7 linked regions of the Callithrix jacchus genome follow. The protein of the gene in region 1 interacts with the protein of each later gene in a pairwise test. Links are inferred from orthologs where the notes say so. Each region holds a gene or a part of one and is shown in the gene's direction. Other genes may lie near its edges. The genes, in order: SORBS3, VARS2, TRIM23, PAK2, EIF3H, TBC1D22B and KIAA0408.

The links.
Region 2: the proteins of SORBS3 (region 1) and VARS2 interact in binary tests that used the Homo sapiens proteins (3 or more experiments, as listed by UniProt). The two-hybrid records come from large-scale screens. The link is inferred for Callithrix jacchus from reciprocal best matches to the Homo sapiens genes SORBS3 and VARS2.
Region 3: the proteins of SORBS3 (region 1) and TRIM23 interact in binary tests that used the Homo sapiens proteins (3 or more experiments, as listed by UniProt). The two-hybrid records come from large-scale screens. The link is inferred for Callithrix jacchus from reciprocal best matches to the Homo sapiens genes SORBS3 and TRIM23.
Region 4: the proteins of SORBS3 (region 1) and PAK2 interact in binary tests that used the Homo sapiens proteins (3 or more experiments, as listed by UniProt). The two-hybrid records come from large-scale screens. The link is inferred for Callithrix jacchus from reciprocal best matches to the Homo sapiens genes SORBS3 and PAK2.
Region 5: the proteins of SORBS3 (region 1) and EIF3H interact in binary tests that used the Homo sapiens proteins (3 or more experiments, as listed by UniProt). The two-hybrid records come from large-scale screens. The link is inferred for Callithrix jacchus from reciprocal best matches to the Homo sapiens genes SORBS3 and EIF3H.
Region 6: the proteins of SORBS3 (region 1) and TBC1D22B interact in binary tests that used the Homo sapiens proteins (3 or more experiments, as listed by UniProt). The link is inferred for Callithrix jacchus from reciprocal best matches to the Homo sapiens genes SORBS3 and TBC1D22B.
Region 7: the proteins of SORBS3 (region 1) and KIAA0408 interact in binary tests that used the Homo sapiens proteins (3 or more experiments, as listed by UniProt). The two-hybrid records come from large-scale screens. The link is inferred for Callithrix jacchus from reciprocal best matches to the Homo sapiens genes SORBS3 and KIAA0408.

The regions. Positions count from the first base shown.
Region 1 is NC_133514.1:18,945,740-18,949,871, reverse strand, and holds the start of SORBS3 (vinexin), read left to right. Parts: upstream 1-1,332; 5' UTR 1,333-1,563; intron 1,564-4,042; 5' UTR 4,043-4,097; coding exon 4,098-4,132. UniProt on the Homo sapiens protein: Vinexin alpha isoform promotes up-regulation of actin stress fiber formation. Vinexin beta isoform plays a role in cell spreading and enhances the activation of JNK/SAPK in response to EGF stimulation by using its third SH3 domain.
Region 2 is NC_133505.1:35,708,224-35,712,455, forward strand, and holds the start of VARS2 (valine--tRNA ligase, mitochondrial), read left to right. Parts: upstream 1-1,432; 5' UTR 1,433-1,517; exon of another isoform or gene 1,518-1,971; 5' UTR 1,972-1,998; coding exon 1,999-2,199; intron 2,200-2,320; coding exon 2,321-2,402; intron 2,403-2,518; coding exon 2,519-2,619; intron 2,620-2,908; coding exon 2,909-3,030; intron 3,031-3,143; coding exon 3,144-3,210; intron 3,211-3,304; coding exon 3,305-3,402; intron 3,403-3,991; coding exon 3,992-4,073; intron 4,074-4,219; coding exon 4,220-4,232. Other genes in the region: GTF2H4 (general transcription factor IIH subunit 4), read left to right, coding at 293-340, 497-575, 978-1,150. UniProt on the Homo sapiens protein: Catalyzes the attachment of valine to tRNA(Val) in a two-step reaction: valine is first activated by ATP to form Val-AMP and then transferred to the acceptor end of tRNA(Val).
Region 3 is NC_133503.1:143,903,339-143,906,636, forward strand, and holds part of TRIM23 (E3 ubiquitin-protein ligase TRIM23), read left to right. Parts: intron 1-844; coding exon 845-969; intron 970-3,298.
Region 4 is NC_133516.1:25,336,374-25,339,873, reverse strand, and holds part of PAK2 (serine/threonine-protein kinase PAK 2), read left to right. Parts: intron 1-976; coding exon 977-1,124; intron 1,125-3,002; coding exon 3,003-3,034; intron 3,035-3,500. UniProt on the Homo sapiens protein: Serine/threonine protein kinase that plays a role in a variety of different signaling pathways including cytoskeleton regulation, cell motility, cell cycle progression, apoptosis or proliferation.
Region 5 is NC_133517.1:80,710,821-80,714,320, forward strand, and holds part of EIF3H (eukaryotic translation initiation factor 3 subunit H), read left to right. Parts: intron 1-2,495; coding exon 2,496-2,652; intron 2,653-3,500.
Region 6 is NC_133505.1:45,599,801-45,603,979, forward strand, and holds the start of TBC1D22B (TBC1 domain family member 22B), read left to right. Parts: upstream 1-1,379; 5' UTR 1,380-1,526; coding exon 1,527-1,582; intron 1,583-4,179. UniProt on the Homo sapiens protein: May act as a GTPase-activating protein for Rab family protein(s).
Region 7 is NC_133505.1:134,022,110-134,025,609, reverse strand, and holds part of KIAA0408 (uncharacterized protein KIAA0408 homolog), read left to right. Parts: intron 1-1,488; 5' UTR 1,489-1,608; coding exon 1,609-1,743; intron 1,744-2,414; exon of another isoform or gene 2,415-2,501; intron 2,502-3,500.

The DNA.
Region 1 (4,132 bases):
ATCTTCCTGGGAAGCCTGGGACCTGCTTTCCTATGATGTGCTCCCAGTGGTCCCACTGCTGCTGGTGCGGCTGTCTATGTCCACACAGCAGCCCCGCAGGTGCTAGAGGCCAGCAGCCCCATCTGAAGCATCTCAACCCAAACATCTCCAGCTTTCACATGTGATGTTGATTCAAAGCAACTGGGCTAGCTAAAGCAGTAATGGTAGGGACTGAAACGCACTTAGTCTTTTCTCCACTCTCTTTCCTTCCAACCTTTGAGTTGAACGGAGAGCTTGGAAAACACTCCAAAGCTCATGGTGGCCTCTGGCACCAGCCTGACACCCAGTAGGAATGCAGGAGATGACATTAGTTTTCATCATTTCGCATTGATCGCTCCCAGCTGGTATCTAAAGTTGATCATAACTATTAGTTGGTTGATTGGTTTGAGGCTTGGGGATCCCTGAGCCAACCCAAGCACCAGAAAGGATCCCAAGGTTTCCCACTGTACATCAGTGTTCCTTAAGCACCCTCGCTTTCTGAAGTAGGCCCTGTGCCACACAGAGGCTTGGGGCAGAGAGGGGAAGAGGGAATGGCCACAGTGGATGGGGAGCCAGAGGGCCGGGGCTCTGGGGACCCAGCTCAGAGCAGCAAGAACAGCGGAAAAGCAGGCAGATCAAAACAAATACAGTGTCTGGGAACACCAGGACCCTCCTAATCCCATCCCCGCCAAATGGACCCCGCCCTTATCCTCTTTAGGGGCGCGGCACACCCAAGGGGGCCGCTCCCTTGGTCCAATTTCCTCCCCATGCTTGCACGTGTGTGAGCGTCCGCACGTTTGTAGTGCACGCGCGCGTGTTTGTTTACACACGCCCAGTCGCGCGCCGCCGCAGGCACACACTCTCCCAGCGCGGAGGGGCGGCGGGGCCTTCCCTGGTCCTCTCGGCCGCTCTGTCCGCGGGGCGCCCTCATCTCGCTCCGGGTCTGTCCGCCTCCCCCCGCCTCCCGCGGTTCACCACTCCTGCCCTCTGTCCTGACTCCGCAGCGCGGCCGCTCGCTTCCCACACTCTGGAAATGTCGCTGGAAACTCTGAGTGGCCCGCGTCGGCCCGCCCGACCCCTCCCCGACGCCAGCACCGCGGTGCGGGCCGGCATGGCAGCTGGGAAACCAAAGCGGGCTCCCCGGGGACCCACGGTGGCCCCTCCCGGCGCCGCCTCCGCGCCGGCCCGGCCCCCTCGGCAAGGGGCCACCAGTGTCCCCGCGCCCCGAAGGACAGAGGGCACTCTCACGGCCCCTCCTCTCCGGCCCAGCCCCAGCTCGCTGTACTTATCCGAGACCCAAACTCCGCCCGCCCCGCCGCGCTACTCTCCTGATCCTGCCTCCCGCGCGCGCTCCCCTTCGGCCTCCCTCTTCCTCCTCGGGCGCCCGGCCTGGCCCGGCCAGTCCTGACCCGGTCACGAGGGCCGCGACGGCCCGCGCTTCTCCCTGCCCTTCCTCCCCGAGCGCCCGCTCCAGGCAGCAGCGGGGCAGGGATGCTCCTGCGCTCCCAGGCGACGTCGGGCCCGGCCACCTGCTCTCCGGGGAAGGTAGGTCCTGGGAAGGAGGGGCAGGGAGGAGGCGAGGCCGGAGGGAGGGACCTGCGCCCAACCCCAGGGGACCGCACTGAGTCCCTCCCTGGAGTCCATGTCCCAAACTCTGGGAAGAGGTGGGAAGTACCCCCGACCCAGTCCTCATTCCAGAAAAAGTGAAATTCAAGAAACGCTGTCCTAGTCCACGTGGCCTTGTAGCTGAGAAATACCTGGGAAAGCGCTTAGGGCCAGGCCCCCACGGCCAGGGCAGTGCTCAGAGCAGGAAGGCCAGGGCCCACCCCAGCAGAGTCCCAGCCTCTCTCCTGCTCCTGGGGCTGGCTGCCTGCCTGGCAGAGCGGCCTGAAATCTGGGAGGGCCCCTCCACTCTCTGCTAGATGGGGGAGCAGTCACCAGATGCTCCCCTCTTCTTCGAAGTCCTCCCTAAGTCTCCTGACCAGGCTGCCAAGAGAACTCAGACCACCCTTCCCTGGAGGTTCCTGGGGGCGTGTCACAGGGAGCAGGGTTGAGGAGGTGCAGATGGGAGCGCCAAGGGTCAGCAACCCCTGAATACAGGTTGTGGGGGGACCTCCTGCCCTGCCCATCCTCCAAAAGGGCAGTTCTCACTGAGCACGAGGTGGGCGGGGAGGCCAGGGAAGGAAGGTGCTGTCAGCTGATGGCCCAGACCCTGGCTGCTGAGCAGCAACTTGGCCTGAAGCAATCAGCTGGGCAGGGAGGGGCGCTGAGAGGAGCCAGCCTGCTCCAGGCCTGTGGAACTTCCACCCCACCCTGCCTCAACATCCCCCAAAAGGGGAGGTGGAGCTCTGGGACTGGGGTGTGTCTGCATGTTTTGCTTTGGTGGGAGTCCTAATTGGACCCAGCTGGGGAACTGCTTCTCCTCCAGCCTCAGCGCTGCACTCCTCCCTGCCCCCCATCCGTCATGGGCACAGAAGAGCTGTGTCACAGCAGCTCAAATGTCAGGAGTCCCCACAAACTCAGATCAGAGACAGGGAGCTGCCCCCAGCCTTGGCTGCACCCTCGCCAGCCCTAGGCAGGAACTGGGTCCAGGGGATGAGTCATCCCAGCCTTAGTCTACCATCATCCCCTCTGCCCCCCAGCTCTTACACTGCTTATGTGACTGCACCCCCACCACTATTCAGCTGACACCCCTCTGTATCCACAACCCCTGTACAGCTCATGTGGTCCCCCCGGGGGCCCCTCCAGAAGTCATATTCACAGTTCTGCACCCAGATTCCCCCCACCCCCGCCCCAAACACACACACACATACACACACACACACAGACAGCTCCTCCCGATGCATTTGCGGACCTCCCTGAGAGTCCCCAAGGACCCCACAGGCACAGGCAAATGTGATTCAATCCAGGCCTGGGAGGTGGCAGAGCCTGGCTGTGTCTGGTCCAGTCCAGCAGCTAAGGTGAGGAGGGACAGACGTCATAGCGCAGTGCTCTGGGTCAAAAATTCCCCTTGGACACTCCAAACTGGGAGCCCCTTTTTGTCCTCTTGCACCCACCCCTCGGGGCTCCCCTCTTGCCCCTCTGTTCCCTGGGTGCCTGGGGCTCCCTTCCCCTTCCCCAGCCTTGGCATGGGGCAGAAGAATCTGGCTGCAGGCAGGAGTGGTGTTGCCAGGAGAGACCCTCCATTCACAAAACAGCCTGGTGGGGCAGGGGAAAGTGGAGCCAGTGTGTGTGTGTGTTTGTGTGTGTGTGTGTGTGTGCGTGTGCACATGCCCTCATGCAGAACACCCAGGGCACTCAGCACCACCCTTCTGTGGGCATGAGCAGGTTCAGCTTTGCCTTCACCCACTGCTTCTCTCTCCACCCACCTGGAGCCCCCGCCAGTCCTCATTCTGTGACGGAGTCCAAGGAAGGGCCCCGTGCTCCCTGTGAGCTCACAAGAGTGGCTCTTGCTGCCTGGAAATGCCCCTGCCACTCCCCTTGGCCTTATCGGGCTGAGGGCCCTGCTGGCCACTTCCTGGAGGGCAGTGGGCGGGTGGCCTGAGTAATCCCTTATGTCCGAGGGCAAGAGATGCCCACACAGGGCCTGGGGAAGACAGAGGGAACTGAAACAAAGTCCTGCGTGCCCAGGCCCCCTCTCTGCCAGCTGCCCCAGTTTCCCTGTGCCTTCCCTCTGGGGGGAGTAGGGAAGTGGACTGCACTGAGCAGGGAGAGCCCCACGGGCTCCTGGCCAGCTGCCCCTCCCCTCCCTCCTCCTCACCCAAGCTCCCCCACCCCCACTCCCACCCAGAGCTCCTGCCCTGGGCCTAACAAGCGGCCCATTGTGCCTCTGGGAGCGGGCAGGCATGGGCAGCCTGCAGGCGGGTGCCTGGTGTGGCCTGTTTCCTGGGTCCTTGAGCTCGCACCCAGCTGGTCCTGACCCCCTCCCACAGCCAGCCCCTCCTCCCCTACCCCAGGGTCGAGCCAAGAGGGCAAGGGCAGCCCAGCCTAGCAGGGCTTTCCCTTCCTTCCTCCTTCCCCACAGAGGACACGCAGAGGAGCAGCTGGCTCGCCCAGGGTCCTCTGACCTTGACCCAAGCATGCAGGGCCCACCCCGAAGCCTCCCCACTGGGCT
Region 2 (4,232 bases), on another chromosome or scaffold:
TCAGCGCCTGCCATGCAATAAGTGCTAAAAAAAAAAATAGTAGCTGTTGCTATTTTAAAGAAAGAAAAGCAAAACATTACTGGAAAGGGCAAATGTGCCAGAGAAGGAATAGCAGACGTGACCACTGGGAGCAGCAACTTGGGATAACAGCTGAACTGGGATGGGTGGAGTTGATGACAGCGGTTAGGAGTTTTTAGAGTAAGCTGATGTTCCAGTGACATTAGGTGACAGCTCAGATGGCTTTCGTGTCCTCTTGCTGGAGCCCTCATGCCATTCTTGTCTGTTTTCCTAGATAATCCATTTCCTAAGGACAAGGGCCCATCCAGTGATGCTCAAACAGGTACAGGCAGGCTTCAAGATGTCAGAGGCTGGCAGCTGGTGATGAGACAGATGATGGAAAAGAAAAACGGGCATCCAAATCTGGGGAAGGAGCGGAGGGCCAGGTAGTCTGGGGCAGTATTCCTGAGTCCCTACAGCCAACTCTTGCTCCTTGCAGACACCTGTGCTCCCCCCCACCATCACGGACCAGATCCGGCTCTGGGAGCTGGAAAGGGACAGACTCCGGTTCACCGAGGGTGAGTCGCTTTTGGTGGCCAAGGCTTGGTCATTGGTCAGAGGATGGGCAGGCAATTCAGTGTTGATAAGCTGTAAAAGCGTTACATGCATTTTAATTTTTACTTCATGAAATAGGAGAAAAAAGGTGGCAAGAGAGTTTTTTGTTTTGGGGTGAGTCCCTAGGGGAGGGAATAATTCACAGTAATTTCTATTGGGCCTTTATGAATATGACCGATCACACTGGTATTAAGATAAACCCCTGAGCAGACAAGCATAGATCATTAGTTTCTAGAACTGCAGTGGGGGAAAGCCCAGACCACTCTCCAGGGCTGCCACGAAGGAGCTGGGGGGATTTCCAGCAGGAGCTCCGAACCTCACTTTCTCATCTTCTCCCGACGCCCCTCCCGTTCTGCCGACCCCAGGCGTCCTGTATAACCAGTTCCTGTCGCAAGTGGACTTTGAGCTGCTGCTGGCCCACGCGCGCGAGTTGGGCGTGCTGGTGTTCGAGAACTCGGCCAAGAGGCTCATGGTGGTGACCCCAGCCGGGCACAGCGACGTCAAGCGCTTTTGGAAGCGGCAGAAACACAGCTCCTGAGAGGGCAGGACTAGGACCCGGACGGACCTCGGCAGGCGGGACCGGGCGGGGCGGGGCTTCAGAACTCAGGTGTTTTTTATTTACGCGTCGGGACTTTTCTTGTCTAATAAAGTTGTGATAGTGAACAGTGCGGTCCCAGGCGCCTCCCTGTGGGGTCTGCCTTCGCTGCGAACGCCGTCCTCTGCGTTTACTGCCGTTGGACCGGGAGGGAGAGGGTGAGGCCGAAGCAAGCTGCTGCGCATGCGTCGGCCTGAGCCCCGCCCCCATGCGCCGCGCGGCTCCGCGGCCAAGTTCCAGGGTCCGGGGTAGGTGGAGTCCCCAGTCCCTGCAGCCGCGGGGCGCCCTGGGATAGCGGCGGGATCTCGCGGTGAGCGCATGCTGGGGCGTTCTCTGAGAAGTGGGAAGCGCTGCGGAGCCTGGGTCAACGCGTTGGTATAGGCGGGAAGGCCAGGCCGCGCCGAGCTGTGGGCGCTGCAGGAGGCCCCTGGGCTGGCGGAGATCGTAGCGGCCCTGCCAGGACTCCTTGCTTGCTCCTGGGAGCGCTGATGGCCATCATCTCCCTGAATTTCTGTGCCCTCCCCTCACATGTGTCAGTGGTTACGGCCAAGTTTAGACACTCCGGCCGTGCTCCGGAAGAGCCCTGGTCTCCGTGGCTCCACGACACTGTCTGTCGACACTATGCCACTCTAGCCCTCCAGGAGGAAACGTGGTGTGGGAGGGATTAACAGACCCGTGCTGATCAGAGCCGGGAAAGATGGAACAAGGAGAGTGAGCCTCCTGCACCCCCGTATCCTAATGTGCTCTCTCTCTATCCAGAACAGATCTCAGCCCCTTTCCAAATACTCCTGATGCCTCATTTGTCTCTATCCTCTTTTCGACCACCTATTTTGGGGCTGAGGCCCTCATGGGGCCTCCCCAGGTTCCATCCCGTTTCTACACAGTCGGAACCCCATGGATCTCCCATCTCCCGGAGGAACCGTGAAGCCAAACAGAAGCGCTTGCGAGAGAAGCAGGCGACTCTAGAGGCTGGGATAGCAGGGGAGAGCAAGGTTAGGGGTCAGACAGCTAGTTCTTGGGTTTCTGAGATTTGGGAGGGGCTGGACGAGATGCGCTGAAATGCAGATGTCTGGGGTATACTGGATCCCAGCCTCTTCTGCTTTTTCTCCTCAGTCGCCTGCAGAATCCATTAAGGCCTGGAGTCCTAAGGAGGTAGTATTGTATGAAATCCCTACGAAACCCGGTGAAAAGAAAGGTAAGTAGAATAAGTAAAAAGGTCTTTTCTTTCCCATTTGTGTTACCCATTTGGCCCGCCGAAATGCAGCTTGGGAACATGTTCAGTGGTTAGTGGAGCTCTCCTTACCTCCACAGATGTCTCGGGGCCCCTGCCTCCTGCATACAGCCCCCGATATGTTGAGGCTGCCTGGTACCCGTGGTGGGTACGAGAGGGCTTCTTCAAACCAGAATATCAGGTTCGTATCTGGTGGGGAGAGGTCCTAAATGTTCTTCAGGACAGAGTGGCCCTTGAATACAACTGGAACCTCAGAGTTGAGCTGACATTGTAGACTTTGCCTTCTTTCTGGCCCTGGTGTCTCCAAAGATTTCTCTTGGCAGGTTCCCCCTGGGCGATTCCCTCCTCTCCACCCTCCTGTTATTTGCAGGACAGTTCTTCCCTGAAGTTTTTTTGTTTTGGAGACAGCAGAGGGTGCTGTTTCCTCAATCCAATTCTCTCTTGCCCTTTGACATTTTTTCTTCCTCTAGGCCCAGCTGCCCCAAGCTACAGGGGAGACCTTTTCCATGTGTATCCCACCTCCCAATGTCACTGGCTCCTTGCACATCGGCCACGCACTCACGGTGGCCATACAGGATGCCCTCGTGCGCTGGTGAGAGGGGAGTGGAGGCTGCTTGAGTTCTTGGAAGGGAAGTAGGAAGGGTAGGAATGAGTGAGGATAAACATTTAAGCACAGGTGCTCACGGGAGGGCATTTCTGTTGCAGGCATCGAATGCGTGGGGATCAAGTGCTGTGGGTCCCTGGTTCCGATCACGCGGGAATCGCTACACAAGTATGTCTTTTGTTATATGTTCCTTTTCTTGGGTGAAAGCAGTTTCTTCCCTGAAACCAACCTGACTGTTCATTTCCCCTGAATCCAACTGCAGGCTGTAGTAGAAAAACAACTGTGGAAGGAACGGGGAGTGAGGAGACATGAGCTGAGCCAGGAGGACTTCCTTAGGGAAGTGTGGCAGTGGAAGGAGGCGTGAGTATGATGGGCAGGGGTAGGGGGGCCCAGATGGCAGATTTGAGTTCTTATGTCCCACCACTATCACTCCTGACTTGTAGTCCCAACACAGAGATGGAAGCTCTGGAGCCCCTTAATGTTTGGTGGCGTTTCCAAGCCATTTGTGTGTGTGTGTCTGTGTGTATATTATATATGTATTTGAATGTTCGTGTGTTTGTGCATTTTTTCTTTCTCTCTACTTACCCCACTTTCTCTTGTGTAAATCTCAACTTCTTCCACTCACCCATTCCTACGTTCCAATTGTCATGGAATTACCCTCATTCTTCCAGGTCTGTTATCTCATGTTATCTTCTCTGTGAAGCATCCTTGGATATCACACAATGTGGCTGGCCCTCCTCTCTCCCTATAGAACCTTTTGCCTCTTTAAATATCTTAGAAAACCCCATACTGGGTTTGTGAGTCTGTTTCTATTAGCCTGTAGAGGCTGGATCAATGCCATCCTCATTTGATCTTCATCCAGCACCTGGCATTGCTGGGGGCATTGCTGGGCCTGGTATATGGGAAGTGCTTGGGAAGCATTTGCTGACAAGGATCTCTCTGGGCACAGGAAAGGTGGAGAGATCTATGAGCAGCTGCAAGCTCTGGGTGCCTCCCTGGACTGGGATCGAGAGTGTTTTACCATGGATGCTGTGAGTGTTTCTGTGCCTTGGTCCCTGTGAGTGTTGGAGGATGTTTAGAAATCTCTGTGGGGCAGGGAGGTGGCAATGCCTGGGTCCCTAAATAGGGTGATGGGCTGAGCAACCGCTGTTAGAGGTGGACACTCAGGTCATTCCAGGGCTCCTCAGTGG
Region 3 (3,298 bases), on another chromosome or scaffold:
CAAGATTAGAGACTGAATTATTTTTACTTTGGGATTTTTGATATTTAGTATGAGCCATAATTAATAGAATTTTTGTTTTTTTGAGACAGAATCTTGCTTTGTTGCCCAGGCAGGAGTACAGTGTTGCGATTGCAGCTCACTGCTATCTCTGCCTCCTGGGTTCAAGCAAGCCTCCCGCCTTTGCCTTCCAAGTAGCTGGAACTACAGGTATATGCAACTACATTCATCTAATTTTTAATTTTTTTTTTGTAAAGACAAGGTCTCACTATATTGCCCAAGGGTCTCAAACTCCTGAGCTCAAGTGATCCTCCCACTTTGGCCTCCCAAAATGCTGGGATTATAGGTGTCAGCCACTGTGCCCTGCAAAAATGGAATTTTGAATATGAAGAATGGTTGAAAGTATGGGGATAGTTAACTTAGAGACAATACTTTGCAGGGAGAAAAATGGTGATCATTTTTATCTTTTAGTCTTTTATTTGAAGATAAAATATTACAAAAATAGTATTTGAAGAACAAGTAGCATCAGTAGGTAGAAGATCATGAGGCATATTTTGAAATTCATTATGTAAAAAATGTTCCTTGATATACAGACCAGTTTGCATTTGATAGAGCAAGTGTTGTAAATCTATCATAGATGGGGAAACTAAACCTGAGAAGTTATATGAACTACTTGAAATCATACTGTTCATTATTTGTAGGTGCCCCTGCCATACTAGGCAGCCTGTGTGAAAATGATGATGGTAGACAAACTCTAACCATAATATAATAATGATATCATTAAATATTTGGTCCATTTACTGAACTTTAGCACGTGACTAATTAGTATTTTTGTTTTTTTGGGTAGCTGTTGTGTTTGTTGTAGATAGCAGCCATAGAGACAGAATTAGTGAAGCACACAGTGAACTTGCAAAGTTGTTAACGGAAAAAGAACTCCGAGATGCTCTGCTCCTGATTTTTGCTAACAAACAGGTAATGCATTTTTATATTGGAATACTTATTTTAGTAGTTTTGTGCATTCCATGTCATAAGAAAACTGGAAATATTTCAGAAAATCAATTCCACAGATATTTATAAAGTTTCTCTGTGTATTTTGAGTACATCTATGTGAAAAATGCTGTGTTGGGTACCTGGGAGTATACAAAATAGAAATAAGGTAGTTCATGTTTACCAGAAACTCCCAGGTATGCATATGAACACATAAGTGAGATTCAAATACAAAGGCAACTGATAAGTGACTTCAATAACAGAATGTTACAGGGAATTAGGAGAGTAGTTCTAAATGTGGCATGTTGTAAGATTGTAAAATTTAGGATTTGAGCTGAAATTATGGATGAGGCTGAGTCAATATGTGAAAGGATGAACATTACAGAGATGATAATAGCATGAATGTTTTTAGTCTAGGGAATATCAAGCATATCTGTATGTCAGGTGCAGGTATTCTAGAGAATCTAGAATAACAGACAAGACCATGCTGTAAAGCCCTGACAGAGCTAGACTGAGAAATTTAGGTTTTATTCTATGAGCAAAGAGGAAACATCAAAATGTTTTTGGACTAGTGGGCAATAAGATCATATCGGTGTTTTGATACTATAATTCTAGGGGTAGAGTGAATCAGGGCAAATGACTACAGACAGAGAAATGCAGTAAATTGCTTAAATAATTCAAGTGAGCATTAACAAGACTCCGAATTAGAGAAATAGAAAAGTGGAGGCAGATGGAAATGACTTTGAGGTAGAATTGGTGACTGAATGGCCGGGATGTAGGACTGAGAGTAGCTGAAGATTCCTTGACCTTGAGCCTTTCTAGGAGGATGAGATGCCTTTAAGTAGAGGTAGTAGAAGGAGAGTAGAAGTGAAGTAGAGAGATGTCATGGGAGGGGAAGAATAGGATGAAGAATAAAGAATTTTCCCCTTAATGAAAAAAGGCAAACTGTTAACAACTGGTATATTTAAGACATTCAAATAAGTCAGTGAATGTTCCTTGATATACAGACCAGTTTGCATTTGATAGAGCAAGTGTTGTACATCCTGTCATAGATGGGGAAACTAAACCTGAGCAGTTATGTAAACTACTTGAAATTGTACTGTTCATTATCTGTAGGTGCCCCTGCCATACTAGGCAGCCTGTGTGAAAACACCATTTTCTGCTCATCAGATAAAGATTAAAGTGTTTTGTAATCTTCAGACTTACATACACCATTATTATTTTTGAGACTGAGTCTTGCTTTGTCTCCTAGGCTGGAGTGCGGTGGCACTCTGCTCACTGCTTGAACCTCCCTGTCCTAGGTTCAAGCAACTGTCTTGCCTCAGCCTCCTAAGTGGCTGGGATTGCAGCTGCTTGCCGCCATGCCCAGCTAATTTTTGTATTTTTAGTAAAGACAGAGTTTCACCATGTTGGTCAGGCTAGTCTCAAACTCATGACCTCAAGTGATCTGCCCGCTTCAGCCTCCCAAAGTGCTGGGATTACAGGTGTGAGCCACTGCACTGGGCCAAATTCCATACACTTTGAATATGATACATTTTACTCCTTCAATAAGATGGGATTTGAATCTGATATAGTAAAAATAAATATATTCTAATTATTGTATGATTTCTTAAATAAGTATACCCCACTCTTGGTGGGTTATTAAACTGAGACATTTTCTTGGAGGACAATTGGGCAATACTCATCAAAGTCCTTTACCCTGCCATTCTACTTCTCTGTATCTGGTAGACAAATATCCAAAGGTTATCCTGCAGATAATTTTGCAGATATACATACGTGTATGTCAACTCTTGTTGTATATGTATGTTTATGTATTATATGTGTGTGTATATATATGGATTTGTAATATATAAGCACAAAACTTAAATCTGAACATTCAGTATAGGACTGGTTAAATTGTTGTATCCTCACAATGGAAGGGAATTCTGATATTAAAAATAATGCAGATAATCTGTGCTGATAATGGAAGAATATCTTCAACATGTTTATGTAAAAAACAAAAAACCAACCCTGCAAGTTATAGAAAGTCTAAACTATGTTCCTCTTTGTGTTTATTTGCATGAACATGCATGGAAATTTTCTGGAAAAATACATTGTTACTGGTGGTTGCTCCTGGGACAATGGGTGTTCAGAGCGGGAAATGTAGTGAACTCTTCAATATATAACCCTATTTATAAACTATTTATTAAGGTTTTCGTGTGTTAATTTTTTTTTTAAGTTGATGCCTTATAATTACTTAGGCCGGGTGCAGTGGCTCGCACCCTTAGTAATCCCTGCACTTTGGGAGGCCAAGATGGGCAGATCACTTGAGGTC
Region 4 (3,500 bases), on another chromosome or scaffold:
ACCTAGTTTGGGCCTATTTATAACATTTAAAATAGCACTCAAACATTTTCTTTCATTACTAAATTTGAAATTAACACTTCAGACTGGGCTCACATCTGTAATCCGAGTACTCTGGGGGAGACCAAGGTGGGCGGATCACTTGAGGTTAGGAGTTCGAGACAAGCCTGGCCAACATGGTGAAACCCCATCTCTACTAAAAATACAAAAAAAATAGCCAGGAGTGCTGATGTGCACCTGTAATCCCAGCTACTTAGGAGGCCAAGGCAAGAGAATCTCTTGAACCCAGGAGGCGGAGATTGCAGTGAGCTGAGACCACACCATTGCACACCAGCCTACGCAAGAAGAGCAAAACTCTGTCTCAAAAAAACAAACAAGGCCGGGCGCGGTGGCTCACACGTGTAACCCCAGCACTTTGGGATGCTGAGGCAGGCAGATCACAAGGTCAGGAGTTCGAGACCAGCCTGGCCAATATGGTGAAACCCGATCTCTGTTAAAAATACAAAAATTAGCCTGACATGGTGGTGCATGCCTGTAATCCCAGCTACTCAGGAGGCTGAGGCAGAAGAATAGCTTGAACACAGGAGATGGAGGTTGCAGTGAGCGCTGAGATCATGCCGTTGCACTCCAGCCTAGGCAGGCAACAGAGTGAGACTCCATCTCAAAACAAAACAAAACAAAAACAAAAAAAATAAATTAACATTTCTATCCATATGTTAACTATGAATTCTTAAAGCTTTTTGCTTTTTAAAAAAGTGTTAGTGGTTGGATATATTGTTTTCCTAGAGAGCAGAGCCTATTATAGTTACGCAAAACAGACTTAGAAAAATCGAACTTTAGAAAACTAGATCTTTTAGAGTTTAGTCAAAGTTATACTCAGAGGATTGGTTTGTTTTGTCTGTTTTGTCATTTATCTCTGGAAATTAATTTTATTGAATCAATTTAAACCATAACTAATTACTGAATATCTTTTTGTTAGGGCATGCCAGAACAGTGGGCTCGATTACTACAGACCTCCAATATCACCAAACTAGAGCAAAAGAAGAATCCTCAGGCTGTGCTAGATGTCTTAAAGTTCTACGACTCCAACACAGTGAAGCAGAAATATCTGAGCTTTACTCCTCCTGGTAAGACAATGGCATAAGGCTGAATCAGATGGAGATTTGTGAAGCACTTTTAGATGAAAAGATTACTTCTGGAAAAATAAAAAGCTAATAAACTATGGTTCTTGTCCATACTTTTTTCCCCTGGTTAGATTCTACCTTCTATAGACTGATCCAGGGCAGTTCTGAAGCATAATTTGGATCTGTGAATTATATTAATATCATAGGTTTGCAGAAATGGGAGTTGTTAAATATTTTGGCTTTTTGTTTATTTGGTTTTTTATCCTCTTTGTTTTTTATTTTTATTTTTTTTTCACTTCTCACTGCTTTTAAATGACTTCCAGCAATCAAAAGAGAAGACGCTGATTGATAGACATGTTTATGCTAGAAATATACTTATTGTTAGTGGGACCAAGAGAAAGGTTGTTTTGCACAGATTTGAACTAAAAAATGTTTAGGTTCACTCAAAAAATGAAACTCATAAGTATGCAGATAATAGAATATATGTATTTTAGTATATAAAATAGATAAATCACATATAAAATAAGCATTAGAATTAAAAGGATTTATACCTCAGAATTGGAATATCTGGAATAATCTATGTAGTCCTAGTAATGTAGATTTTACTTTGTGGATAAATGTAGCTGGATGGAAATTGGGTTTGATTTACTTTGTTTTCCCACTTGCTCAGTATCTGAGATGTATGAGAGAACCAGTGCTCTTAAGAATTGGTATAGTGGATTTTTTTAAAATAGTTTGTTCAAATAAAGATCAGAATAAAGTTCACACATTGCAGTTGGTTGATAGATTTGAATCTCTTTTGGTCTTTAGGCTTCCCCTCCCACACACTGGTTCATACTGTCTTTTCTTGCAGTTTGTTAAAGAAACAAGATCATTTGTCCTGTTTCCCTCAGTTTAGATTTTGCTCACTACATCCTCAGGATGTCATTTTTAAGTGTGTTTCCCTTTCTCTGAAGTCATACATGTGGTTTTCAAACACAGTATGATTGAGGAAAAATCATGCGTGTTATTTTAATTGATGATGCTTAATGTTTGCATCCTCACAGAAATAAAGGCCATGCTCAAGGAAGAAATGGAAATCTTTTTGCAAGTGATCTTGACCTTTTTTATTTAGTCTAGAATGCCCTTAGGAAAAGGTCAGACATGTTCCTAGAACTTTTCTATCAATCAGTAAGTCTGCAGATTAGTAATTTTTATGAAAAATCAATGATTGGCCACAAAATAGTAGCTTATTTTCATCTGGTACACATACATTTGTGTGTGTGTGTGTGTGTGTGTGTGTGTCTCCAGGCTTTTTTAAAAGAAAAAACTATGTCAAAATTTTACTTTGCACAATTGTCATTGTCTTAATGGTTTCAGTAAGTTCCTCAGCAGTTTTCTGGAAGAACTATCTTTATGAATAAATTTGTTTAGTTTTAATAAATACACATTGATAGGTATAGTTTCAAATAAATTGTGATAGCTTTGTTGAGGTATAAGTTGCATGCAATACAGTTCATTCATCAGTTCATCACTCATTTTTAGTAAATTTATAGTTTCATTTAGATTTCAGATTTATTACCTTATTCTTATATAGTTTTGTTTTGTTTGTTTTTTTTAATGGAGTTTCACCACATTGTCCAGTATGGTCTCAATCTCCTGACCTCGTGATCCACCCACCTCAGCCTCCCAAATTGCTGGGATTACAGGCATGAGCTGCCATGCCCAGCCGGTCTTACATAAATTCTTATTTGACTACTTGTGTTGTCATTTTTCTCAAGAGTTAATTCAACTTGAAATCAGTTTAAGAATATTTTGCTTTCTCTATTTTATTTTTTTCCTTTTGTCGTATAAAAGTGCTATTTCTTGAATTGCTAACATTATGTTTTGTTTCATATTCAGAGAAAGATGGCTTCCCTTCTGGAACACCAGCAGTAAGTTAATGATATTTTTTCTTGTAGCTCTTGTTCTGATTTAGGTTACCCAAGACAAATCTCAGTTTTTATTTTGCTTTCTAAAATAGATTACAGCCATCAGAGGTGACTAACTACCCAATAGGTGTTTTTAGCTAGCCACTGATTAGTTGCAGAAGCTATATTAAATAGAAATTCCTTGATATGATATTTAATGTAACTAAAATTTGTAATGACCTTCAGAACTGTTAAGCTGCTTTTGGTAATGTTAACATATACAAACAAGCGTGAATACAAAAAACTTGCTAGCGTATATTTTCCTCTCTTACCTTGCAGTTCTTCTGCTACTATTTTACTGAATACAGACTATGGAAAGGTACTGAACAGTTGAAACTTTCAGTCTTCAGAGTCATCTAAAACTAAGTTATTGCATAAACACAGTCACTTCTTGGAAGTAGTTACTGTTTTATTTGCAGTTCCTCAATTG
Region 5 (3,500 bases), on another chromosome or scaffold:
AATTCTGAACATAGGTACTGAAAATCTAAAAAGCCATGTGTTGTAATTTTTAAAAAGTTATTCTAGTGACATTCCAGCTTAAAATTGGAAAGCAAATTCTCCTGAAGAGATTATCAAGAACCAGTACTTTCGCATGTTGATAAGCTGTTACATAGATCCCACCAATTCACAATATAATAGCATACAGACTACATACTCAAAATTTCAATCTTCCACAGCACATTAACAAAGTTAATTAGAAAAACAGGACTACCACAACCAAAAATGTTACAGAGTGCACAACCATTATGACGGAGAGAGCCATGATCAAAAACAGTGTTTCTCTTTAGGAAATAATTCTACTAAAAAATAATGTGGGAATAAAAGTAATTTAAAATGTTCAAGACATTAAATGCAGAACTGTAACTCCATATTGCCGATTAGTATGCTTTGTATTGTAGGATATAAAAGCTAACCCCCCAACTATGGAATGTTAAGCTGATACTCAAGACAGTGAAACCCTCCCATAATTCAGTATCTCACACAAACTTGTGTTTACAAAATAGTTGATAACAGTATTCCTCTGGGTTGTACAAGAAGGGAAATAGGGGCCACCGATAAGACATGGTGTATTCTGACATAATCAAACTTGGCTTATTTCTTTCTGGTCTCATCAGAGGCTGGACTCTTCTCAGTTTTAGTTTCTTCATTTTGTGCAGGCAAATTTCTTTAGTTTCCTCGTTAGCCATGTTGGCCTCTTTTCCCTTGCTCCGCTTTTCCCTTTGTTCACGTTTTTTTGTCTGAAGATTTATCCTTTCCTGCTGCCTTTTTTAGCTTCATTTCCACTTTTGTGGGAGCAGGTTTAGCTGACAACCACATTGATTCCCTCCTAGGCTGTTTGTTTGCCACCCCTGTGGCTGAGCTGACCTGTGGGCTCAGTCTGCAGGCAGAAGTAGCTGCCTGCCCTGTGTCTGCCTGGCCCACCCATTAATTAGTTTCTAACAATAATATATTTGTTTTAAATGAAGCACTAATCAATAACGTACAAATAAATTGTCATTTTCTTGTTAAACTTATTTTCCCTCTGTGAACTTCCCATTATAATTTTGACTGTGTTGCCTTTTAGGTCTTCAGGCCTTGGGCTTATATTAAATATTAATGTTACTATTCTTAATAATATGTGCCAGGCACTATGAAAAGCACTTTATATATATTAACCCCATGTTGTAGGAACCACCTAAAAAAACACACAAAATTATTAATGATGATGATTCTTATTATGGACTTTAATTGCTTGTCCACCCATACACTGTGTTACCTCTTTTATCTTTATGAGAATATTCAAGGAGAGAGTTATATAAGACCTGAGTATTCCATTAGAGGTTGTTTAATGAATCTGTAACCGGGTTTTTTTTTGGGTGCTGGCGAGGCACAGCTCCCCCAAGAGAATGCTGTGGGTTCTTGGCCTCCTATCCCTTAAAGAATAAGTGATGGGACCCCTGCAGGTGTGCTGTATGCGCATAAAAGTAAATGTTGGACCCAAGAAGTGTTTCAGAAAGGTGATTTTATTTAGGTAGAGAAAAGAGAAGGAAAGGAGAAGAGAAAGACTTCCATGCAGAATGTGGAAGGGGATTTCAGAGGGGAAATCTGGCCAAGTGTGTGGACACGGACTTTTATCCTGGGAGGAACCACCACCTTCTCTTAAGACCTTGGGCCAATGAAAGGAGTTCGTTAGAACTTCCGCTGGAGTGATTGACTTTTGGTTTCTTCCCACGCCCGTGAAATTCAAACATAAACCGTTAAAACTCCCGGATGGAGAGAGTTGGGAGGGGGGCATGGCGTTGGGAAGTTTTTGCCCTTAAAATTATGCTCTGTCATGGACCCGGAAAGAGAACACATTCCCTCAAATCCTTCCGATTGAGAAAAACTAGATCGTGCTGGAGACTGCTCTGTTTGTGTTCTTTGTTACCAACTAGATTCTTATTGGATATGTGTGGGTACCTATTCCCGTTGTTGCATCCTCTGACTGTGGAGATGGTCTGTTGAGAAAGGCAAAATGAGAATTTGTCAGAAGGCTCTGCTTTCAGGTGTCCAGATAATTGAGACCTTTATCTCTGTATCTTTTAATGGTTTTGTCATTTATGTGTCTTTCTGTTAACAGGATCACTTCTTCAATAATAGCTCTAGGTTGAGGGTGTATTGTTTGATTTGGCTGAAGGAACTCCTAGATGCCAGACTATGGGGGAGCTTTGATTTAAGAGCATAAGTGCTGTACATGGACATTTTTGACATATAGTCAAACTCCTGGAATTTCAGATATATATTAAGATTATGTGAGCTTTATTATTTATGTAAGGGTAAAGGAAATGATTTGTAAGACATTTATTTATTCTTCTTATTTAATTTTGTGGTTTTGCAAACCTGTGAGTACGGTTGATTTATTTATTTTCTTAGAAATAAAGGAAATAATAAAGTAGGATGTTGTTAAGCTCCCTTCTGTGTGTGTGTGTTTTTAGGTGGTATTAAAGATAATCAAACATTATCAAGAAGAAGGACAAGGAACTGAAGTTGTTCAAGGAGTGCTTTTGGGCCTGGTTGTAGAAGATCGGCTTGAAATTACCAACTGCTTTCCCTTCCCTCAGCACACAGAGGATGATGCTGACTTTGATGAAGGTAAGAGTGTTCATCACTAGTGTGTGTCTTTGCAGTGCATACAAATGGATGTTAACACAGTTCTCACTGTAACTTTTGGTAATGTATGAATTGGGAGTATGTCAGGCTAGCCTACTTGACTTGATTTCTAATATTTTGAGAAAATTATAAATTCTGGGAAATGAGGATATGTACTATAGATGTCATTAGTTTGGGTTTTACTTATTTGGAATTTATGATTCTGATTTGTAATAGTTTGGATAGGATCTGTGTTGATGTTGACTTTGTCAGTTTGTCAATCTGAAGTCAGCATGCCAAATAACTAAAGTTTTGAGGGACATAGATGATCCCTGTGTGTCTGGTATTCATTCCCTTCTGTCCTCTTTTGACTAAGTCAGTGTTTACAAAGAGATAGAGTTCAATTTTCTGCTTCAAAAAGAAGATACTCCTCAAGCATTTTAGGAATATTTTATTTTTGTACTACAGGCGTGGTTGCTTTGTTAGCAAAGGCCGACAGCAGTTAAAAGCTCACGTCAAAGGCCAAGGTCGGCATCTTCAAGATTTTTTTAAAATCAGGTTTAAAATAACTTCTCACTTGTTTGAACTCGCAGGTTTCATTTTCTATGTAACCTTTTATTGTGGTAAAAAGCACATAAAAATGTTAAGTATATCTTACAGTAGTGTTAACTATATGCATATTGTGCTGTAGTTTTCTAGAACTGTTTCATCTTACAAAACTCAAAACTCTGTATCCATTGAACAATCCCTTTTTCCACTTCTTTCACCCCTGGCAACCACCATTCTATTTTGTGTTTCCAAGAGTCTGATGACAGGTACCTCGTTAGTGGAATAGTGGCATTTTTTGTTTT
Region 6 (4,179 bases), on another chromosome or scaffold:
TCTAGAAGTTGTTTTAGATTATTACTTCAAGACATCAACTCTTCCAAAGCTCAAACAGCCAGCAAAAGTTCTGGCTGTCCAGAATACAGACAAAACATCCACCTTAACAAAGCCTTAGTACATTCCTCTTTGGGTTTTGTGTGCAGTGGGTCACTGCATCTTAAGAAAAAGAAGCGCCAGAGAAAGGCAGGTAAAATGATTAAAAGAATAGAGGGGTGACTGGGAGCTGGAGGACATATAAAGAAGGTCCTTCTTTGGCTGGGGCCAGGGTTCAGGTCCTTAAGCATTCTCCAATGTGTGGAAGGACCCATGGGATCAGGTCTTCAAGTATTCTCCAATATTTGGACTTACATGTGGTAGCTGTGAATGGGGGGTGGGTGAGGGGGTGGGGGACACGCAGCCCACCTCAACAGTCCTTGAATGGGACAAAAACCACTCTAGACTGGTGCCTGCTTTCTCTCCCCAAATCACCACGGAATACAACCATAGAAACTCAAAAACAGTAAAAAACACCGACAAGATATTTTAAATGCTAATATTAAATCTCATTGTGAAAATTAGATTGAAAATAAATCCAAGGATGCAAGATTTATAATAGATTAACAAGGGAAATTAAGGATGTTGGTGGGTGAGGAGGAGATGTATCCTTAACTTTGTGATTCACACGATGGAGCTATACTGTGTCCTTCAGAGAAATGGTACTTGGTAATCTGAGTTGGACGGCTATCATAAACCATTTCCTATACACTGTTAGCATAGTCAGAAAGTGAGAGTTATGAATTGACATCGGGATTAGATAATTTGAATTTTTCACCCACAGCACAATTCCTTCCATCGTTTTCAATAAACAGAGCGAGAGGGAGACTCTGATGAACTGTTGCTCACGTGCTGAACCGTTAGCAACCCCGGGCTATCGGATCCCTGATGACCTTCCTTCAGAAAAACGAACGGACATCTAAACGGAACGAGGAAGGGGAGGGTAAATAACCAGAGTGTCCCTGAGTTGAGAGATGTTAAAAATGGAACACAATCAACACATGGGCCCTTACTTTTAGGTTAAAGATTCCTATACATAAATACATCTCGCCCTTGCCAAAAAATATTAGATTCAGGAAATTCATTCCTCACGAAGAAAATAATCCCCTCTCTTCCATTCCTTAGGTCCCTTACTTTACCTGCTTCTTTCCTCTCGAGGGCAGGAACTTTGAGCCCCGCCTCTCTGCTCCTTCAAGCTCCGCCTTCCCCGTCCACCTGTATGCCCTGCCCCTGACGTTACCCGTTGGCTTCAGTGGCTTGCAGGATTCCGGCTTCTGATTGGCCGGCCCGGCCACGGCTTGCGCAGCCCACCAATGGCAGCGGCGCTGGGTGGAGGGGTGCCCAAATCCAAGATGGCGTCCCCAGGAGCTGGGAGTGGGTGACCGGCAGCGGGGAAGCGGCCTGGGTTGGCCCTCAGATTGCGGGGTCTGGGGGCATCTCTCCAGGCAACCCCCCTGGCCCGCCTACAAGGCCTTCCCCCGGCCAGAGCAATGGCCGCTGAGAACAGCAAGCAGTTTTGGAAGAGGAGCGCTAAGCTGCCGGGGAGGTGAGCCCAGGACGCTGAGAGGGAAAGGGGATTGGACCAAACCCTTCCAGATCCTAATCCCTAATCCCGCGGGCCTGGGGCGCCACCGAGGCCGGAAGACTGGTTTGGGGAAGCCAGGCGGGGAAAACTGGGGCTGCCTGGTGGCTGCAGAGCAGCTGTCAGGCAGAGGAGAGAACAGCGAGCTTTGGGGACGGCTGGATGTGGGTGTAGACCGGGGTCTGGGGGCGGAGGTTTCAGGAGGGGTGACCTCAGCTGGAAGGTGGCCGAAGATTGGGCGTAACCCGCAGTGGAGTTGGGAGATAAGTCAGTGTCGGCCCTGGTCTCGGAGGTTCATCCCCAGAGCTGCTTCCCACTCTAATCAGAACTCCCTCTCAGTGGTCTCCACCACGCACAGGTGGTTGCTTGCTTGAGGATGGCCCCTTCCCTTGTTCCCCTAGCTGGACAATTACCCGAAGGATTCTGGTGTGAGTTTGTGGCTTCTTGCCGAGAGGGTTAGGTAAGAAAAGTGAGGACAATTCTCAAGCCTGACCTTACTTTATCTTGAGTTGGCCCTTTCCCACTAGGAATTAATACAAGGCGACCACAGAATCAGGGTTATTCCTTTGGCATTTTCTAAGGATTTGTCCAACCCCAAGTGACTTCTTCCTTCCTTGCATTGTAATGCTCTTCTTGTGCAAATGTACTAAATTCTTTCATTCTTCAGTTGTTTCGCTGGAGAGCAGACCTCCTCAGACTACCCCCCACCCCTTTTTTGGTGTATGTTGAGACTTTTAGCAAATTACCCATCCATCAATCTATTGGTTTACTGTTTCAGTTTATTTTGGGGAGAGTCCTGAGAAGTATAAAGTAGAGTGTGTATTTCAGTCGTGAATTTAAGATTTCTGCCAGCCACAGTCTACTTGGTGATGAAATTCATGTTTGGTTGTGCCCCACGTGCTACCTTTTCTAGTGGATTCAGGTTTTTTCCTTGTGAGATCATCTTTTGAACTCGTGATTTTTTTTTGAGACGGAGTGTCTCTGTTGTCCAGGCTGGAGTGCAGTGGTGTGATCTCAGCTCACTGCAGCCTCAAGCGATTCTCCTGCCTTAGCCTTCTGGATAGCTGGGACTACAGATGCGCGCCACCATGCCTGGCACATTTTTGTATTTTCAGTAGAGACGAGGTTTCACCATATTGGCCAGGCTGGTCTCGAACTCCTGACCTTGTGATCCGCCCACCTCAGCCTCCCAAAGTGCTGGGATTACAGGTGTGGGCCACTGTGTCCAGCAGACTTTATTTATTTATTTATTTATTTTTAAGCAAGAGAGAAATGTGGGTCAATAGTGGCTAGATAAGAGCCTTAATTTTTTCTTTTTTTAATGAAATAGAGACAAAGTCTCACTCACAATGTTGCCAGGGCTAGTCTGTAACTCCTGGCCTCAAGTGATCCTCTTACCTTGGCCTCTCAAAGTGTTGGGATTTCAGGTGTTAGCCACCATGCCCCAGCAAGTCTTATTTTATTAAGGATCCTATTAGACATATGGAGAATAGGGTGGAAATCAGCTTTTAGTAATATTTATTAAAATAATAGGAATGCAAAGATAACTTCAGATTAAAGTGCTGTGGATTTACAGTGTTAATATTACTGTTAAAGATGTTCTATGTCTTTAGGTAAGCACCACTTCCTGCCAGCTGATTCGTTTTCCTTCCTGGTCTAGTGAGCTCTCTGGTTGTGCTGACTGCTATTCTCTGGGATTTTCCATAGTGAGATCATTAAATTTTGACATCCTAAGATTATAATCAGAATCAATAGGAAAACTTGTATCAGGAAGCAGTGTAAGAGATGTGCGACATGGCATGGCCTTCTCTGCCTTCTGACTGGTGGTTGCTATTAACAGTCTTTTTTCCCCATATCTCCTGTGTTTGACTATAGAAGAGTCAACATTTTAAAAGCACTACTTTTCTGAGATAGGAAGAGAAGTCTTTTCAGTTTCCTCAAGTTTCTGGATTCCCTTTTCATTTTGAAGAATATGGAGAAATTGAGAGAGGGCCGGGAACAATGCCTCACACCTGTAATCCCAGCACTTTAGGAGGCTGAGGCGGGCAAATCACGAGGTCAGGAGTTTGAGACCATCCTAGCCAACATAGTGAAACGCCGTCTCTACTAAAAATACAAAAATTAGCTGGGTGTGGTGGCGCTGTAGTCCCAGCTACTCGGGAGGCTGAGGCAGGAGAACAGCTTGAACCTGGGAGGTGGACATTGCAGTGAGCCGAGATCATGCCACTTCACTCCAGCCCGGTGACAAAGGGAGACTCCATCTCTAAATAAATAAATAGACAAAGCAAGACTCCATCTCTAAATAAATAAATAAATAAGTACATAGAAATAGAGAACTTTTGCCGGGCACGGTAGCTCACGCCTGTAATCCCTGCACTTTGGGAGGCTGAGGCGGGCAGATCACGAGGTTAAGAGATCAAGACCATCCTGGCCAACCTGGCCAAACCCCGGCTCTACTAAAAATACAAAAATTAGCTGGGTGTGCTGGCGTGCACCTGTAGTCCCAGCTACTTGGGAAGCTGAGGCAGGAGAATTGCTTGAACCCGGGAATTGGAGGTTGC
Region 7 (3,500 bases), on another chromosome or scaffold:
GTAGAACCCTGCATATATAGCTAATGTTTTTCATTCTTATTCTATTCTAATTCATTGACTGTGACTCAAAAAAACGTATATTCAAAACTGTTTACCACTCAGATATGTACGTTCAGAACAGTCTGACAAAAATAAAATTAGTCTTCGATATTTATCTTATACTTAGGATATGAAATATGCCATTATCTTTTGTGAATACAAAATTGGCACTTGCTGCTTGGGTATGTGGGCTTAATTTGGGAATGCCAGAACCCACAAAGCTACTGACTATTGGGATCTTTGTCTATAATTAGCATAAGCTGCCACAAGTAAGTCATAGCAATTTGGTAATGGCCTAGTGACTGAAGAGTTAGACATCTTGTAGGCATAATTATCTTACACAGAGATTCAAACATTTTAAACATGCTTTTCTACCTCCTAAAAAGGCACATGACTTTATTAATACAAAATTATTTTTAATCGAAGTCAAAACAAAATTTTGTAAAGCCAAAAATAGAAAACTTTCTTAAATTTCTCAAACTACTTTGGATTCAGTATGCCATTTAATCTTTTTTAACAGCTCTATGACTATTCCCATTTTAATGTAAAAATCTAAATCTCAGAAATTTTAGACTTATACCAGAGTTACATAGCTGGTATTTTAAATTGTGACTTCAAACCTTAAATATGCATACCCTGAATTCTAGAAATTTCATTATTTTAGTCACTACTTAATGTAATAGAGGATTCCCTGAAAACTGAGCTACATGTTTTCTTCAGTTCTCTGTATTCAATTTCCTAAGCACTTTATGTCAGGGGTATAGTCTATTCAAAGGAAAAGAGAGCATGGATAAATTTTAACATATATTTTACAGTATAGTTTTGATGCTTCTAGATTTTCCTTTATGAAGTGACATAATGAATTTTTAAATATAATTTAGGTTAGTTTCTCAATGGTACATCAGTCCCAAGTTGACTACCAACTTTGGGGTCTTAATAAGTAACACAGTAATGACATTTGGCACAGGCTTGATCTCTGAATGAAGAATTAAGATTGCAACCCAGCTCTGGCTCAGGAATTTAAGTCATAAGAATATATAAGCAGGTTGTATCAGAACCAAAAAAATAATTTTATTGCAGCAGAATCTGCCACAGTGTGTAGACGTGACCATACATTTGAATTGTATACTTCTCCTCTTAGATATTCATGAAAAAAAATCTATTTTTAGAATAAATGGTTAAAGGAATGATTGTCTCACATGTGCATTTAATTATCTTGTCCACTATAATTTTGCTGTCTGGTCTCAGAAAGGGAAAAAAACCTTTGGACAATACTTACTACTTTATTGACTGTGTTAGTTTCTTCTTCTTAAGTAGACTCTTGTCATCTCTTTTCTTTTGAGTCCAATTTTCCTATAGTTTGTTTATGTCAATGGCTCGACAAAATGATAAAATATATTTCCAAAAAGCACATGGATTTGGAACTCTCTCTTGTTATGTTTATATTAGGCTTTATTTTAAAGGCAAGTGAGACTGCTTCAAATAAAACAACTTCAAGCTTCCAAGAAACAGTTAAGAGGAGGCAGAGAGGAGCAGAAACACTTCTTCGCCGACACTGACACTGTTGCCATGGACCTACATAAGCAGTGGGAGAACACAGAGACTAAGTGGCATAAGGAAAAGATGGAATTACTGGACCAGTTTGACAACGAAAGAAAGGAATGGGAAAGTCAATGGAAGATTATGCAGAAGAAAATAGAAGAGGTACAAGTTAATTTGTTGTGGATGTACTCTAATGTTTAAGTGCAGGATGACTGTTTTGATTGGAAACTTTTTATTTTCCTTATTCCACCTAAGAAGTATATAGCATAATCTTACTCAATGGTATTGTAAGGATTATTTTATATCATTGCATGAAAATTAAGCATTTCAAATGTCACTCCAAAATGTTTCAACTTATTATTTTCTGGCTAGAGAGCCTTTTTATCAAAAGTGAGGTATGTATTTTGCGTGAGTTTTCAAATACCAGGGCCAGGAGTAAAATGCAAGAAAGATATACTTGGTGGGACATAGATTAGCAAAATTATAATTGGGCATTAGAACATAGATCCTTCCTAAGAAGATTTATGAGTAATATCTATTAAAGGAAATTACATTTTAGATAACTCATTATAATCAAAAGGAGTATCATATATCAAACAGAAAATGACAGTGGACATGAGATTTATTCTATCAACTTATATACATTTATTGGCACATTTATTGAAAAAGAGGTTATGAAAAATAACATATCATGAGTCTGACAGTCATTTTGTTCCCATTAACCTTCCCTCAGTCCGTTGACCCTGAAAATTTCCTTCAAGCATTTGCATTGATGTATATTTAAGCTTTTGCACCAACTGGAAGTAATTTATGCTTATCTTGCTTTCTTTTAGTAACATCCATAGTATTGACTTTATATGGTTTTGTGCGCATTACCAAAGTTGTTATTTTAAGACTTCTTGGCCTTTTTTGCAGGCAAAGTAAGTGCTTTATGTTTTCATAGTGCAGTAATTTTTCTTATTAACAGCCATGTAATTGACTGCAAATAAAATATGAATTGGCATAGTAGGAAGAAAACTGAAGTAAAGTAGCTATCAAGCCCTTCCTCTAAAATAGAGCTGAGAAGGCAGGCATGTAGTATATGATGAGGGATTAAAGAATATACTTCTTGTCCCTGTAGTTTGGAAAATGTGTCCTGCTTGCTCCTTTAACTCCTCTACCCATACTGAGATTGTATCAACAAAGAGATGCCCCGGTCAAATCAGAATCCAAAACTCCAGTTCAACAGAAACTGATCTGTAGTCATAGGTCATTGGCTTTCACATGTTTGGGAAGTTCATAACAGTCTCAGACAATTCTAGCATCCAAGCAAAATACCTAAGAGAAGCAGGATTCATCTAGCCAATTTTTAAAGCCGTGTAGTCAAAATAAACTGCTGTCTGATTAAATTGATTACTGTCCAATAAGTATTCTGACAATTCTACAGGGTTCATTTAAGGTAAATATTATTAGCCTTATCAATTAGCAGGCACGAAATATGCTTTAGACATCTAATTATACCTCATAGAGATAACATCCCTTTCCAGGGAGATAGAAGGGCTGTCATATTTTTTTCATCTTGGAGAGTAGCTGTAGTACTGCTTATGTTTTACTTCCTGTACTATACAGCTCCATAACTGTGAATTTGTTTAGATAATGTACTTACTCCTAATGCCTGTAGATGATGCTTTTCAATAAAGACTTGGATACCAGCACTGTGCTGCCCTTACTAATATATATGCCAAACATTTATAAAACATACCTTCTTACAGGCTTCAAAGCTAGGGGTAAAAAGAAACAAGAGAGGCCGGGCGCGGTGGCTCACGCCTATAATCCCAGCATTTCGGGAGGCCGAGGCGGGTGGATCACGAGGTCAAGAGATCGAGACCATCCTGGTCAACAAGGTGAAACACCGTCTCTACTAAAAATACAAAAATTAG